Oryzias latipes: one gene and its partners. The protein of the gene in region 3 purifies or fractionates together with the protein of the main gene of each other region. This does not show direct contact. Links are inferred from orthologs where the notes say so. Each region holds a gene or a part of one and is shown on either strand. Other genes may lie near its edges.

Region 1 (3,656 bases), on a different chromosome or scaffold from region 3:
TAAAGTTTCCTTTTTTAAATAAATGCATCACAAGGTGTACACAGTTGAAGGGGCTGGAAGCTGGGAGGCAACATTAAAGCTTTTTTGAACATTTTTTCAGGGAAAAGACTTACATCCGGTCGAAAGACACCACCTTTCCGAAATAACAGCTAGGGTGTGTTGGGCCAAACATACAATTTCACATAAAAAACAATGGTGGGCGTCAACAAAATCCCAACAAACATGTCAACATAAAAATGAGCGGAGCAGATCTATCTCTGTCCTCACCTTACAGCTGTAATAATAATAAGGCACATCCAGAGCGAGGAGGGCCTGCAGGCCTAAAGGTTTCAGGTAGTAATCGTGGAGAAGGAGTCCATCCTCCTGAGTACAAAACAGTGTCACAACGGACACATCCGCCTGAGAGAAGAGAAGATGTTTAGGTGTCATATGTTCCTAAACTGAAGTGGTCCTAATAAAAAACTGAACACTCTTGGAGAGTAAATAAATACAATTTCATAGAGAATAGATTCTTTAAAAGCCTCTAAAAGCAATCATGTAGTAAAATGTTTCGTGATTGAACATTAATCTATGCTATTGAGAGAAATGTTTATGTTTTGCATCTACCAAACAGTGAGGTAAATAATAGGGTATTAAACCCTATTACATAGATAATAGGTATAAAAACGCAAATAATTTTAAAAAAATGTATTATAATAGATGCACACATTTTATTTATTTTAGTAAAAAACCTTTTATTTACTTTGTTTTGTTTGGAGTTTTCACTTCAAGTGACTACCATTGACACATTTTGAAGAAGATTGGGATGTACCAAAGCAGGGAAGTCAAGTCTTTTATTATGGACACTATAAAGTGTGTTTTACAGTCTTGAGACCCGCGGTCTTGTCTGATTTTTCATTCCACAGTCCCATATGATGTCTTCATATGTGGATGCCAGGTCTCAAGAGGTTTCATTAATTTAGCTGATTTATGTTGGAGATTTAAATTATGCAGTATATTTTATTAATTAATTATTAATGATCAATTATACTTTTATTTTATTAATTGTCCTTTATAATTTTTTGTTATTGATGAATTGGTTTAACCCCTCCTTGTGTGTTGTATGTAGGCTACTTGTCTGCAGCTATAAACCTTCCCCAGTGTGTTAACCAGGAAGTGGACTTTTGGGGTATTCATTTTGTTTCTTTCTCTTTTTTTTTAGGCCCTAATGATTTTTTATGAACAAAGAATCTCTGTTTATTATTATTTGTATTATTATTATATTTTTTAAACAGGGAGAAAAAAGAATAAAAGGAACAAACAGCCTCCAAGCAAAACAACCTGACTGCTGCTGACTGATTGTGGACCTTCACATTACTTTTTAATAAATTTTACCTTTTGCTTGTGTAAATTTAGTCGCAATATTTTGATCATTTTTATTATTGTTTAGTAGCAAAGATCTGCACCTGACTAACTTATTCTTACCATATCCAAGAAAGATTCTGATGAAGTTTCCGAGCTGACTGGCACCGTCTCGCACGCAAAAAGACGAGGCTCGCTCTCATCCCAGAAGTGAGACACGGGGTAGCGACCACTTACTTCACTGTGAGAAGACTCCTGTCTGGGACTAAATAATACAAACACGAAGATATTTGTAAATAAAATAATCTAAAAAAAAAAAAAACTATGAATTTAAAAAAAGAAGTCCATTAATATACTTTTCACTTTCTTCTGGTTGGGAGATACTGCTGGAATGTCTGCCAGTAAAGAAGTCAAAGTGTGTCAAAGTGTCCATCTCGATGTCATAAAAGTACACCTTGTGGTCCAGTCGTCCATTAACCTGTAAAAAAGGTGTTACAATCCTCAGAGAAAAGCACCAGATATTTTTTCCTCTTAAATTTAAGTGGAAAAGGGAATGTTCTCGTAAACCTGAGAGATTAAGATGCTGATGTAGGAGCCACTGGAGTTACACTTGACGGACCTCAAGGCTCCCAGATTAGCAATGTGGTCTGCCAAATTCTTAGTCTTGCAATTAGCTTTGGCATCTCTACAACATACAAATGAAATGTCAGTCAAGACATCGATGCAGGTGAAGTGCTTTTGTTTCTAAAAGGAATTTTGGAGGCAAGATACTTGTACCTTCTGGAAAGGTCAAAAACTTGGATGTGTGCCGTGTCTGTACCCACCACCAGGTAAGACTGGCACACGTTGAGTAGCATGGGGTTCCCTTCTGCCTTCGAGAAATATAAATGCTGTTTTACCGTGCCCTGAAGGAAACAGAGTAAATATGTTCAAACAAGTTTTGAGCTACATCAATTCTAAATCATTGTTCATTCACTATTAGGCAACCGTTTTGAAGTGGTGCACTCAGACCTGTAGTGTTCGGATTTGCAACTTGTTTGGTTCTACTGTGTAGAGGTTCTCGTCATGCACGGCTACCACATGGGAATCGCAAAGAAAGGATCCTGGGAAATTACGAAGAGAGAGTAGAAAGGGGAGAATGGGTGAGGCAGACACATAGAAACAGAACAGTGCACTGTTGTACATGCCGATAGGAACGCTCATTAGTTGCTTTGGTTTGTACTCTACCTGTGTTGTGCAAAGCTGTCCCAGAAAGCTCGTACACATTAATCAATTTGCCATTCCAGACTATTACAGAGTCCTGCAGGTGAGACAAAGAAGTGATGATAGAATCAGCTTTGTCTGCAATACAGTTGAAGCCTGACATCTTTGCTCTTACCTTGGTGACACAAACTCCTTTGATGTGCATGTCAGACTGGAGAGCAAGGTGCACCCCTGTGGTAAAGTTAGAGATGCTGAGCTGTGTTGGGCTGAGCTGCACTGCTGCCACCTGCTGACTGAAGTGGGCAGACATCAAATGCTCGCAGAGGATTAGCACCGTCTTTGAATTGTTTGCAGCCAACAGATTCAAGCTGCAGCCCCACTGCAAATTTAAAGGACTGGTTAAACTTTTGGAATGTTGCCCATGCTACATCCCTGTTTATTATTCCATGTCAGATGAGTGTGTTGCTAAAAAGTTTGTTTGGACACTACCTGAAGTTGTGTAACGTTTCCCTCTATTTCAGTGGGTGTCTGTAATTTCCACTGAGTCTTGGTGTCTGATCTGCTGCTGAACTTCTTCCACATTGCTATGCGTCCATTGGAGGTACCAGCAGCAAGAATTTCTAGGATTCAAAAATATGAACACAAAACCTCAATCAACTCAGGTTCTAAGTACCTTTCAAAGAAAAATTATTAAGCAATAATTTATAGAATTAGTGTGTATGTAACAAATATTAATGGGTTACCTTTTGCTGAACAGTATGACACACAATTGATCAGCTCGCCTCTATCAAATCCCAATGTCTCATCGAGAGACAAAATGTAGTTGTCATCTCTATCCAAGTCCCATAGCCTAAAAAAAATGAAAAGAAGCTAAATTAAATGATTACTTAAGCCAAAACAAAGTATGGAGGTAAACATAGCACGTGAAAAACCAACCTGATCATGTGTTCCCCTGTTGCTGTAATGAGGAGGTTGTTTTCTGTCCACACAATATCGACATTCTGCCCAGACTTGCTACTCAGCTTAACCTGCCATGAAAAGTACAGTAATAAGCACAACATCTATTCTAGGCTAAAAGCACCAACAAATATGGTGTAAACATTGACTTTGCT
Region 2 (3,041 bases), on a different chromosome or scaffold from region 3:
GCGCGTTTCTGTCTTAGGCAGCTACCTTAATGCTCACAACGTGCTGTTCAGCATGTACACCGAGCTGCAAGCTCACAAGATCAAAATCCCTGCAGAAATGGCCACCAATCTGATGATCCTGCACTCCTACCTGCTGGCCAGGGTAAGGGGTATGGGTTTCTGTTCTTTTGGGGGGGGGGGGGGGGGGGCAGTTACTTACACACTTAGAAGTCTGATCCATCAAATGAAATCATTATTTTATTTTCTTCCTGTGACCCCCAAAAGGGACAAAACAGGTTTAGAAGATGAATGAATTTTATAAAACACAGACTTTCTGTAGCTTTTTGTTGGAATTCCTATTCTTTTAGTTCACCTTCAACTTATGTTGACTTTATTTCACTAGTTAAAAAAAATTTTGTACAGAAAAAAATAGATTTTGATGGAAATTTGAACAACTTTAATCAAAGCGTCTCAAATAGTAAATTCAATCAGAAACACTTGAATCAAAGGATTCAGTTGAATTGGCAGATAGGCAGTCCTATTCTATTCCTACATGGAATGAGTCATTTTTCTTTTGGGACCCAGTGTTGCTTAAAATGGAGAGACATCAGAATAAAATTTGTTTACTTGTTTATGAGGAATCAAATCAGCACAAACCAGAAAAAGAGTCAATTTCTTTGGAGCAGCTACCAAACTGTGATGATGTTCTTTTGATGTAAAAGAGTTAACCTCTCTTACTGTCGGAAATGCATAAACTAAAGCAAAAGCTTCATTAAGATCTGGTTAGACTCCATCTTTACTGGAATTAATGCAACTAACAAGATAGCAGCTGATTCTGAGCTGCAACCCCTGTGTTTTAGCTGCAGTTATAATGTGTTTTTCTACAGATCTATACAAAGAGAGGAGATCACCTGAAGGCGGCGCGCATGCTCATCCGTGTCAGCAACAACATTAGCAAGTTTCCAGCACGTAAGTCAGATAAAAAAGTCACTGACAAATCTAGAGGCTGCTGTTTAGCTGATGCTCTGGTCTGTTTGTGTAGACGTTGTTCCAATTCTAACGTCAGCGGTAATCGAATGCCAGCGTGCCGGTCTAAAGAAATCCGCCTTCAGCTTTGCTTCCATGCTGATGAGACCAGACTACAGAAACGATGTGGACCCGAAGTTCAGGAAGAAGTTTGAATCCCTGGTTCGGTGAGCAGCCGAGTGATTACGGTGTAAAAGTGTGATGTTGGTACCTCGTCCTCCATGTGATGTTCCTCACACTTATTTACTGGCTGTCCTGCCCGTCTCATCTGCAGACATCCACAGATGTCCGAGCTGGATGAAGAAACCACTCCGTGTCCTTACTGCGGATTCCAGCTGCCAGAAAATGAGCTTCTGTGCATCGCCTGCAAGAACAACATCCCCTACTGCATCGCCACGGTACAAATGCCCCATGCCACTTGCTTTTGCTGCTTTAAGACAGTTCTTATTAAATAAATAAATAAATTCCCTTCAGGGTCGTCATTTAATAAAAGAAGACTGGTCTACTTGTCCGCACTGTGACTTTCCTGCACTCTACTCACAGTTTATTCTGTAAGTACCACTTGAAAACAATGTTTTATTTCCTCCAGTTGTGAGTAAAAACAAAGTCGCCATGAAGGTTGTTGGTGAGTGTAACTGATCGTCTTTCCATCTATTTATAAAAATCCCAGTGCTCTTTTAATTATACTTGTGCCGTTTTTAGCCAAAATAAAAAAATCCTACATCGTTTTGCCGGACGTAGTTTCCGCAGAGCGGCAGGGGCACATTTGAAAATTCACCTGAGTTGTGGGCGGGACGGCTGGTAGGGAGCAACCCCGCTCCTCTTCCCAATGCTGAGCTCTCTGAGTGGGGAGCTTGTGGCCTGCCCAGCATATTTTCTACATCACCAAAAGGCTTTTTTTCAAACTGCATTTTTTGTCTGCTCCTGATTCACAATGCTTTGAATATACAAGTATTCAGAAATACTACCTCAATTATTATTTTTAAATATCTCCTCCATCATCAGAAAAACGCTACAAAAGCAAGTTAAAAACAGTAAAAATAGCATTTTTATCAGAGTGGGTCTTTAACATTTTATTCAAAGCATCTGCACAAATCTTAGCTTTGATATTTTCATTTAGCATAAGCAAAACAAAAAATGATGTAATCTGTCAGGAATCAGATTACCTCTGACCTGCTAAATGAGGACCATTTTTTGGAAACCCTGTTCTCCTCCTTTTAACCGCGCTCGTCTCATTTTCTGCCACGGACTGTGCTGCAGGTTCCTGGAAACAGAGACAGCCTGTCCCATGTGTTTTGAAAACCTGAGTGCGAAGGAGCTGAAGAAGATCCCGGATTGTTCCAAATACCTGCAGACCAACGAGCTGGATCCATGACAAGACAGGATCAGTGCGTCTCAGCTGTAGGACTTCTCAAATGCTATATTTTATACATGTACTCAAATTGTAATAAATCGCATTTCAAAATTTCACAGCTGCCCCTCTTTATTTCAAATAGGAATGGTCCATTGTTCTGTAAAACTATTTTGAAGCAATAAAAACACAAACCATCATTAATGTGCAGAAAGTTATTCTTACAAAAAAATTTTAATTTACAGGTAACTGTTGCTTCTACAAAGGTCAGACATGTTTGGAGTGAAAGTGAACAGTCTTCATTATTTACATGCAGACAGCAGGAATGCAAACGGAACGACAGCAGAAAGGCTCCTGATAGGACAGATAACTGCAGCTGCGCAGACATGATGATGAGCGGATCGCCTACTTATTATAGAGACGTCTCAGGTTTAAAATTAAAAAAAAGAAATGGTGAAAAATGCTTCTGAAGTCATTGTTCTGAATAGCTGCTGAGTTTAGGGTCAGTTTTGTTCTTTGTGGTTTTTATTAAAGGTGCAGAGGAACAATTGTCCATGAAGGAGGATCAGAGGAGTTCACTCTCCTACAAAGGGTCATTTCTTAGCCTTTCCTTTTCCTTTGCCCTTGCCTTTGCCTTTTCCAGAATCTTCCTTCTGGGTTTTGGACTCTTTAGTGGTTTTGGTCT
Region 3 (3,656 bases):
ACTATAAACTGCTACTTCTTTCCTAGGTTTTGAACCATGCGGCTTATACGAAGGTGCCGCATGGTTCTTTCACCGCTAGAGGTGCTCTAACTGGAATTAGAATCAAAATTAAGATTGGCAAAAAAGAATAGACTACACTACTTTTTCTTTAGCAGAAAGAACACGCACGACAAATCACTAACTGGTAACTAGAGTCACTTGTTGTTTTAAACACAGGAGAAATTAAGGTAAATAAATACTGGTTGTTTTCTCTTGGTTCTGTTCAGTTTTAATCAGCAAAGTTGCTGCAGTGTTAAAAGGCCCTGTTCGGAAAGAAACTGTTCAGGTACATACATGTACATTTCAGTACAATATCATCCTGCACATGCAGCAAATATCTAATTCTTCAACATAGATATCTGCAGTATATCTTTTTTTTTTGATTTATTTAATAGAGCGGATGTGGCTTATAAGAGAGTTTTTTGAAATGTATATTTTTGGAAACTTAATTGAGCTAGGGACTGTGTTTATGGTCATAATTGGCCTACAATTACTCTACACACTACTGTTTACACTACAACAGTAAGTGATACTGCTTTGCCTTTAATGCACCGCCTCCCCTTACTCATTATTTCATTTTTATGTCTCAGACTCATGTTTTGTAGTCAGTATTATTGATTTAAATGAAATTTCTGAAAGAAACAACAGCAGACATTGTTTAGAGTGACAGAAAACATGCAGGAATTATTGTGGAAGCTTCTTTTTTTTCCTAGTGAAGAAAACCAGACAACTGAGTGACTTAATTTGATGCTGATCAAAAGGACTTTGAACTCTCATACAATAGAGACTATTTAAACTAAAAAAGTCTTTTTTTTTCTATCCGGCTCAAAGGGATGCGGGAATGTAATGAACACTTTGAAGTTTGTGTACTCGGAAATTATTAGGTGTTGTCTGAAGTCTCTGAGCAATAAAGTTTTTTTTTTTGAGTCTGATGTTCTCTTTGTCGTCCTTAGATCGGAGCAGACAGGACTTTGAATTATGACCCGTGTTGTGTCAGCTACTTCTCCAAGGGGGAGTACATCGTGATGGGCGGCTCGGATAAGCAGGTGTCGCTCTACACCAAAGACGGAATGCGATTGGGAACCATTGGAGAACAGAATTCCTGGGTGTGGACATGCCGAGTTAAGCCCGAGTCCAACTGTGTGGTAGGTTCACAGCTTGTGAAACCATATGCTTGTAAAAGCCCTTTCACCCCCTCATATTATAGTGAGAAAAGAGACATCAGTGAAATGCTACACAGAAAAATGCAGCCTTTTTTCTGATGTGACAACACAGCATCCCTTTCGTGCTCAAGTACTTTTCTTTCCATATTAACACTTCAGCTGCTTTTCTTCTCACTGACAATGATGAGACATGCAAGCTAGAATTGGATTCTAGCAGATTTATTTTTCTTTTTTACCTCTGCTGTGTACATCCTCTGACAACAGGAACATTTTCTCACTCCCTCAGTCTTTTCTTAGAGGTGTTAATAAGATGTACCGCTACATTGTTGTCTTTTTATCTAGGTGCTGGGCTGCCAGGATGGGACCATTGCTTGCTATCAACTTACTTTCAGTACAGTTCACGGCCTCTACAAGGATCGCTACGCTTATAGGGACAGTATGACTGACGTCATCGTCCAGCACCTGATCACAGAGCAAAAGGGTGTGTTTTTTTGAGATTAGGAGTCTTTGCCATATACCTGTGTTAGTATAATTTCACAGTGACATGATCTCATCAAAAAAACTGAAAAACATCTAAATTACAGTTTTGGAAAAAAAAACTTGCATCAAAATCTTATGAAGCATCCAATCATAAAAAAAAAAACATGATTTGAACTTCCCCCAAAATAAGGAAGTTTTTTATTTGGGTGAACAATACTAGTTTATACAGTCAAACCTCCTGCTTTCCCGTTGATGTATAACGTGCATTTTATTTTTTGATTAGTGAGAATTCGATGTCGTGAGTTGGTGAAGAAGATCGCCATCTACAGAAGTCGCCTTGCCATCCAGCTACCTGAGAGGATCCTCATCTATGAGCTCCGCTCCGATGACTCCTCTGACATGCACTACCACAGCAAGGAGAAAATTTGTCAGAAGTTTGAGTGCAACTTGCTGGTTGTGTGCTCCCAGCACATCATTCTGTGTCAGGTCAGAAGTGGCCTGTATTATTTTTATTTTGTATTCAGTCAAAAAGTAAAGTAAGAACCTGTTTTTGTCGTTATTAGAGCTTGTGTTTTTATTTTTCAGTATATTTTATTTTGAAATGGTAAGGCTTCTCAATTATAGTTCTTGAATCATGTTACTTGGTGAGACAGGTAAATTAATCTGATTGACATTTTATTGTGCAGAAGTCTGATACTGCTGCACCATCAGATGAATGCAGAGCAAATCAGTTTTAGTCATTAAATACCCAGCGACACTGCGATTCGATCGCTGTGTGCCCAGATGGTCCACTTTCTCGTGTCTCTTCTTACCACAGAGAGTAAGACCGTTTCAATAAGAGGGAGGAGCCAAAAATGGATACTTTTTAGGGTTCTTCTTGGTGTTAAGTGGCTGACAGAGGCTGTCAGCAAGGAGCGGCAGCTTTTGTCGGTGACAGAGGTGCTTCAGGTCTCTGCTGGAGCCGCTCATGTTTCATCTCTCAGACAGTTTGTAGACATTATATAGTGGCTGTGCTCACACAGGCTGTTAATGCTTTCAGTAGATCAGATTATTGTTTATGGCTCTGCTCTCTGAGATTGTTCCACCATATGCAGCCTGTAAAAGAACAATACGTCTGAATGTTTTTTTAACCTTTTGTGTATAATAAAAACTTTAAACAGATAATTTAATGAAAAAACAACATAGAATATGAGCATGTTTGACCAGCCAGTGTTGTATTTGCAGGAGAAGAGACTCCAGTGTCTTTCCTTCACCAGCGTCAAGGAAAAAGAATGGGTGATGGAGTCTCTAATTCGCTACATTAAAGTGATTGGGGGTCCACCAGGCAGGGAGGGCTTGCTTGTGGGATTAAAGAACGGGGCTGTAAGTATTGCCAAATGGGAGTTATTTTGGTAAATGCTAATTCACACACTGATGGCGGCGCCGCTGCCAAACACTGGCGCCAACCTCCCACCAGAGGCAAGGTGGGGTTCAGTGTCTTGCCCAGGCGGGAATTGAACCTGCAATGTTACGATCATGAGTCGACCGCCATACCGCTGCACCACGGCCGCACATCACACACAAGTTTTGCATGAAACCATGCTATAGTGTGTTTTTTTTTCTTCTAGATCCTGAAGATATTTGTTGACAATCCATTTCCCATCACACTGCTGAAGCTGTCAACTTCCGTGCGCTGTTTGGATATGAGTGCCTACCGCAAGAAACTGGCCGTGGTTGACGAGCACAACACTCTTCTAGTGTATGACATCAACAGTAAAGAGCTCCTCTTTCAGGTTTGGAAGCTGTAGATATAATGATGGGGGAGGAGAACAACTTGAGCATGCAAAGAAATGTGTAGATGAACTGAGTGAAACCAAAAAATTCACATATTTTGCATCATTTTTTTACAATTCTCAAATGTTAGAATGGATTTCATGTTAGTTTTTTGTTTTGCAAACACCTTCCTATTGTTTATTTGTGTGCTTTCCTACAGGA

The links.
Region 1: the proteins of ift122 (region 3) and ift140 purify together in Homo sapiens (affinity purification with mass spectrometry; 4 studies listed by BioGRID and IntAct, counting the BioPlex papers as one, with this or other methods). This does not show direct contact. The link is inferred for Oryzias latipes from reciprocal best matches to the Homo sapiens genes IFT122 and IFT140.
Region 2: the proteins of ift122 (region 3) and wdr19 purify together in Homo sapiens (affinity purification with mass spectrometry; 4 studies listed by BioGRID and IntAct, counting the BioPlex papers as one, with this or other methods). This does not show direct contact. The link is inferred for Oryzias latipes from reciprocal best matches to the Homo sapiens genes IFT122 and WDR19.

What each region holds. Positions count from the first base shown.
Region 1 is NC_019877.2:9,013,113-9,016,768, forward strand, and holds part of ift140 (intraflagellar transport protein 140 homolog), read right to left. Parts: intron 3,573-3,656; coding exon 3,481-3,572; intron 3,395-3,480; coding exon 3,288-3,394; intron 3,165-3,287; coding exon 3,034-3,164; intron 2,924-3,033; coding exon 2,720-2,923; intron 2,642-2,719; coding exon 2,569-2,641; intron 2,445-2,568; coding exon 2,353-2,444; intron 2,247-2,352; coding exon 2,119-2,246; intron 2,027-2,118; coding exon 1,909-2,026; intron 1,820-1,908; coding exon 1,698-1,819; intron 1,607-1,697; coding exon 1,465-1,606; intron 400-1,464; coding exon 268-399; intron 1-267. UniProt on the Homo sapiens protein: Component of the IFT complex A (IFT-A), a complex required for retrograde ciliary transport and entry into cilia of G protein-coupled receptors (GPCRs).
Region 2 is NC_019859.2:13,014,140-13,017,180, forward strand, and holds the end of wdr19 (WD repeat-containing protein 19), read left to right. Parts: intron 1-17; coding exon 18-142; intron 143-866; coding exon 867-948; intron 949-1,021; coding exon 1,022-1,172; intron 1,173-1,279; coding exon 1,280-1,403; intron 1,404-1,479; coding exon 1,480-1,556; intron 1,557-2,265; coding exon 2,266-2,380; 3' UTR 2,381-2,473; downstream 2,474-3,041. Other genes in the region: rfc1 (replication factor C subunit 1), read right to left, coding at 2,950-3,041. UniProt on the Homo sapiens protein: As component of the IFT complex A (IFT-A), a complex required for retrograde ciliary transport and entry into cilia of G protein-coupled receptors (GPCRs), it is involved in cilia function and/or assembly.
Region 3 is NC_019865.2:17,185,304-17,188,959, reverse strand, and holds part of ift122 (intraflagellar transport protein 122 homolog), read left to right. Parts: intron 1-992; coding exon 993-1,184; intron 1,185-1,544; coding exon 1,545-1,683; intron 1,684-1,965; coding exon 1,966-2,168; intron 2,169-2,906; coding exon 2,907-3,044; intron 3,045-3,289; coding exon 3,290-3,454; intron 3,455-3,654; coding exon 3,655-3,656. UniProt on the Homo sapiens protein: As a component of the IFT complex A (IFT-A), a complex required for retrograde ciliary transport and entry into cilia of G protein-coupled receptors (GPCRs), it is required in ciliogenesis and ciliary protein trafficking.